2 linked regions of the Bombyx mori genome follow. The protein of the gene in region 1 interacts with the protein of each later gene in a pairwise test. Links are inferred from orthologs where the notes say so. Each region holds a gene or a part of one and is shown in the gene's direction. Other genes may lie near its edges.

Evidence for each region. The genes of interacting proteins can lie anywhere in the genome.
Region 2: the proteins of ralA-binding protein 1 (region 1) and AP-2 complex subunit mu interact in a two-hybrid assay, tested with the Drosophila melanogaster proteins (2 studies listed by BioGRID). The link is inferred for Bombyx mori from reciprocal best matches to the Drosophila melanogaster genes Rlip and AP-2mu.

Annotation. Positions count from the first base shown.
Region 1 is NC_085113.1:5,985,772-5,988,495, reverse strand, and holds the end of ralA-binding protein 1, read left to right. Parts: intron 1-730; coding exon 731-914; intron 915-1,279; coding exon 1,280-2,011; 3' UTR 2,012-2,104; downstream 2,105-2,724. UniProt on the Drosophila melanogaster protein: Participates in receptor endocytosis during interphase, is also involved in mitotic processes when endocytosis is switched off.
Region 2 is NC_085114.1:2,144,687-2,147,381, forward strand, and holds part of AP-2 complex subunit mu, read left to right. Parts: intron 1-1,458; coding exon 1,459-1,597; intron 1,598-2,695.

The DNA of each region.
Region 1 (2,724 bases):
CATAAAAAGTGTACAATTTCCAAAATTATTCGAAATTGAGTTAATATGCGGAATCATTTGGTGTCACCAGTATTTTTCTCATAAATACTGTCAAAAGAGCGTAGTTTCGTTTTTTTTTTGTTTACCTTTATTTTGGCTACTATTGACAAAATTAATACATAATTTTATCTTACTTTAAAAGACAGATAATGTAATTGGAAAAAATATAAAAAATAAATGTTGCAAATATGTTTAATATTAAAAATATCACATGTTAAACCTTTAAAACATTCTCCTGTAAAATTAGTAAGTTTTGAGATTCTTCTTTTTCTCCACCCTATCCCACTAGGTGTGGTCGGCACAGCTAATTTTTCTCTTCCATTCTCTTCTATAAGCCGTCATCTCAACACTCACTCCTCTCTCTCTCTCTCATATCGTCATTCACACACTCCATCCATGTCTTCTTCGGTCGACCTCTTCCCCTCTACCTTGCACTACCATTTCCATACATCTACTAGTCACATGCATCTTCTCTCTACGCATCACATGTTCATACCACGCAAACCGTCCGCTCCCTAATTTGTTGCTTACCGGGGCCACTTTCACACTTCCTCTGATATACTCGTTCTTTATTCTTTATTTTGAGATTATACAGTTTTAATGCGAGAAGACGATGGTATTCGTACACTGTGGAAGTCAATCGTGTTCACATTAGTTAAGTACGTATTTCATTTCGTTGTATTCGTGACAGATACGTGCCGCCTCTCCACTCGCTGCCGGCCGACTTCCCCGACTCCGCCGCCGAGATGAGCGCGGAGCTGCGGAAACAAGAATCTCTTCTCAGTCAGATCCACGCGGAGATGCACGCCGGCTTCATAACGGCCGCCAGAGATCAACAACTATGGGAGGCGCAGCGAATTGTAACACAACTCAAGGTAATGTTAGAACCCGTAGTACGTCTAATGAATACGCCTCAAGAGTTATTTGAATTCACACTCGTTTTTTATTTATTTATTGCTTAGATGGGTGGACGAGCTCACAGCCCACCTGGTGTTAAATGGTTACTGGAGCCCATAGACATCTACAACGTATATGCGCCACCCACCTTGGGATATAAGTTCTAAGGTCTCCGTATAGTTACCACGGCTGCCCCACCCTTCAAGCCGAAATGCATTACTGCTTCACGGCAGTAACAGACGGGGACAGAATAGACTCACAAGAACTCTTACCACCAGTAAAATTTGAATTTTATAGAATGATTGACTAATAGTTATTATCGATCATTGATGTTTCGTTACAGCGTAAACTTCGTTCGGTACAAAAGTCAACGGAGCCTAACGCGGTGCCCACGCAGCAATCATCCGTAGACGAGAAGCAACCGGACGAGGAGACTACGCGAGTGTGCTCGCAGCCGACCGAAGCCGAGAAGCCGGTCCGCGAAGTCGAAAGGCCAGGCCGCGAAGTCGAGAGGCCAGTCCGCGAAGTCGAGAGGCCAGTCCGCGAAGTCGAGAGGCCAGTCCGCGAAGTCGAGAGGCCAATCGACGCGTTCGAGCCCAAGGAATCGCCGCTCGACCAAGACGCGACCTTCGAGGCGGAATTCGAAGACAACTTCGACTTCAAGCCGGACAAAAAAACGACCACAGATGAGACACAAGCTACGGAACCCGTCCAAGATAAACCGAAACTCACCGAGAAAGAACTCAAAGTGCTGCGTCTCGAATTAGAGAACGCTGAATACCTGCAACTGAAGTCGTTGTTGCAAGCGAAGATCAATTCGGAACAATTCGAGATTGTCAAGCTGAGGAGCTACGTCGCTCTGAAGAACAAACAGGAATGCAACCTACAGAATAACAAAGATGCCAAAGAAAACTCCAGCGTCGACGAGCAAGAGTTAAAACAGAGGCTGATGAAAGAAAACGCTTTGCTCGAGCAGAAAAGACTGAATTTGATCAACCAGATCTTTCAAGAGAGGGTCGCGTGCATCCAGCTGAAGATAGAGCTCGCGATGAAAGAGATTCTGTCTAAATCATAAAATCTTCGAGTCTCGAACTAGTTTTAAGTTTATTTATGCACTTCTATTCCATGTAACAAATGTAAATTAGTAATAAAACCAGTTATGAACTAATTCTTTGTTTATCTGACGAAGGCAAAACGTGGACTAGCTCCGTTTTTTTTTTTTTTTTTGAATTGAACATATCAAAAAAATATTGAGGGAGTCCATATTGTATATAATTAACACCACAGTTGACACAATAGGAGTTCTAAGTTATACACATTATTATTTTTTTGTCCGTTTAAATTTTCGGCGGTAAAAAGGTCCAGACTATCTTCTTTTTTCCCCTCTCGTGCGTTCCGACTTACGCATCATAAAAAGGTGCGTTCTTAAACGCCATAATATGTTAGCAAAATCGGATCGCAGCAAAAATATAAAATCTTTCAGAAATTATTAAGTGTCAAACTTAGTTGCGTAATAATTATCCGAACAAAATGTACATTCATGACATCACCGATAGATAGATAGAGGGCGTAGGCGAATGATAAGTGTTGATTAAAAAGAATCGGTTTTATTAATTCCTATATTATTTTACAACCTGTTTTTATTTGATTGTCTATTTACAAATTGATTCATTTTTAAACGCTGTTACGTAGTAAATAACGTACATTATTAAATATATACATAATATAATCAGACTGCGGTGTCGTCAATCGTCCGTGACCCCGAAAACTAAAGTATTCGAAATGTCG
Region 2 (2,695 bases), on another chromosome or scaffold:
AAAGTCTGAGCACGCCTTTTCCTCCAAGTGTTGCCATATCTTGTAATCTAACGGATTCAAATCTGGACTGGAGGAGGGCCAGTCTTCGTGCCGGATGAAGTCGATTTCACGCGCCGCCAGCCAGTCTTGTGTGCTCTTCGCTCTATGAGCTGGCGCCGAATCTTGTTGGAATACCCAGTGCCTGTTATTGAACATGGTATGAGAAACAGGTTCCACAAGGTTCGTCAGGACTGTATTTTGATACACAACTGCATTCGTTTTTACACCTTTCTCACAAAAATGTACCTCTGTTAAGCCCCAATAAGAAACTCCCAACCATACCATGAGCGAGGATGGAAAATGACCTCGTTGGACACGCGGAATACGGTTGCTCGCTTCTTCACTACTGTGTGCGTACACCTTATCATTTTGTTTGTTGTAGCTCTCTTCTACGGTAAAAACTTTTTCATCCGAAAAAAAGAATTTCCCGATATTTTTTTCCCGCGTACCGCTTCAACAAAGCGCGGCATCTCTTCAGTCTCAGGTCCATTAGACGAGCATTCAAACGATGTCCTGTTTTTCTTCGATATGCCCGAAGCCCTAAGTCTTCATTTAACACCCTTTTCACCGTGGTTCTGCTTAACCCCATCTGAAGGGCCAACAGTTTCTGCTTACGTTTGGGATTTCTTTGAATTCGCGCCTTCACAGCTTTTATCACTGCTGGAGTCCTAACAGACCGAGGGCGACCACTTCTTGACCTGTCATCTACACTAGAGTCTTCATTGTATGGTTTGATGGTACGATAAGCGAATCTTTTGGTTATATTCAAATTTTTCAGTATGTTAAAAATTTGAATTGGCGCGTAACCGCAACGATGCAACGCAATAACTGCAACACGGTCTTCTTTAAGCGTCCACTCCATATTTAAAAATGAGTAAAATTCTAAAAGTATACATTTTTATTTTCATGAACAATTCGAAATTCGAATTCAATAAACTTTTTTGTGGCCAGCATTCTAAAAGAAAAGTTTTTACTGTGTGACAATACTTCTGACCTGACTAGTTATATACGGTACATACACCAAAATAACATTTTTTACAATTTTTGTCTGTCTGTCTGTTTGTTCCGGTTAATCTCTGGAACGGCTGGACCGATTTTGACGGGACTTTCACTGATAGGTAGCTGATGATATAAGCAGTAACTTAGGTTTTTTTTAGACTAGCTTCGCCCCGCGGCGTCACCCGCAGTACGACAGTAACCACGGGTAACGTTGCGGGACTCAACTATCAATAATAAAATTTAATGTTTCCGAAGCGAAGCGAGGGCGGGTTGCTAGTAAATAATAAAAATCTTACGTTACGGACGTTTTTTCCCGGTTAGGGTACCCCTCTGCATCGTCCCATAAGGAACTTCGTTCCAAAATATACTTTGGTGTAGGTAATCGTGCTAACGGTTTAAATGAATTTTGAAAATGTTCAGGATCAAGCGCATGGCGGGCATGAAGGAGACCCAGCTGTCTGCGGAGATTGAGCTGCTCGAGACCGACACCAAGAAGAAGTGGACGCGCCCGCCCATCTCCATGGGGTTCGAAGTTCCCTTTGCACCCTCCGGATTCAAGGTGATCCTTGTTGTTGTGCACGACCAACGAGCTACACAAATCATTAGAGAGTTGTGCTTAAAAATAAGGGGCTAATAAAAATCACATATCGAGAAGTGAAAGGCCATTTGGTTTAAGCGACATGTTTCTAATGAAATACGCACTCAACAAATGTTCACGATTGACTTCCACGGTGAAGGAATAACATCGTGTAATAAAAATGAAACCCGCAAAATTATAATTTGCGTAATTACTGGTGGTAGGACCTCTTGTGTGTCCGCGCGGGTAGGTACCACCGCCCCGCCTATTTCTGCCGTGAAGCAGTAATGCGTTTCGGTTTGAAGGGTGGGGCAGCCGTTGTAACTGTACTGAGACCTTAGGACTTATATCTCAAGGTGGGTGGCGCATTTACGTTGTAGATGTATATGGGCTCTAGTAACCACTTAACCCCAGGTGGGCTGTGAGCTCGTCCGCCCATCTATGCAAAAAAAAAAGATATAGATATACTGACTTAGATATACTGACTATCCCATTACACAGGAGCTTACATATGGACAATGTTAAGTAGACGATGGTGGGGATGCTACGAAGAGTCGCACAAAGAGGAGACCGAGAACGTCTAATGTGTTCTATCTCATTCTCTCGCCGGCTGAATCCTATACATTTATATGTTTGTGTCTATGGACTTATTTTTTCCTTTCATCGAGTTTGAAATCACGATTCTAAAGAAGTTTCACTTCAAGAAGGGTTTTATCACATACACACGTTCAAAGATGTCAAACTATTTAATCTTCAAGAAGAGACTTGATGTAGCACGTCGGCCGTTCTCGTTATCATCATTCTCCTGCCCTTCTCCCAGTCACCTGGGGCCAGCGCAACATCTATCATATACCATTACTTCGCTCACTCCCCCCTTACACATATCGTCTTTCACGCAAAGCATCCATTTCCTCTTAGGTCGACCTTTTCTTTTAAAGCCTTCCACGTTCACAGTTAAAACTCTCTAAAAACCTCATTGTTATATCATTCAGGTGCTCCTATGTTGTGATTGGGGGCGCGTTGTAATAACTACATAGCCGATTCTATGGACCGAATGGTAAACAGTCGACATCGCCCAAA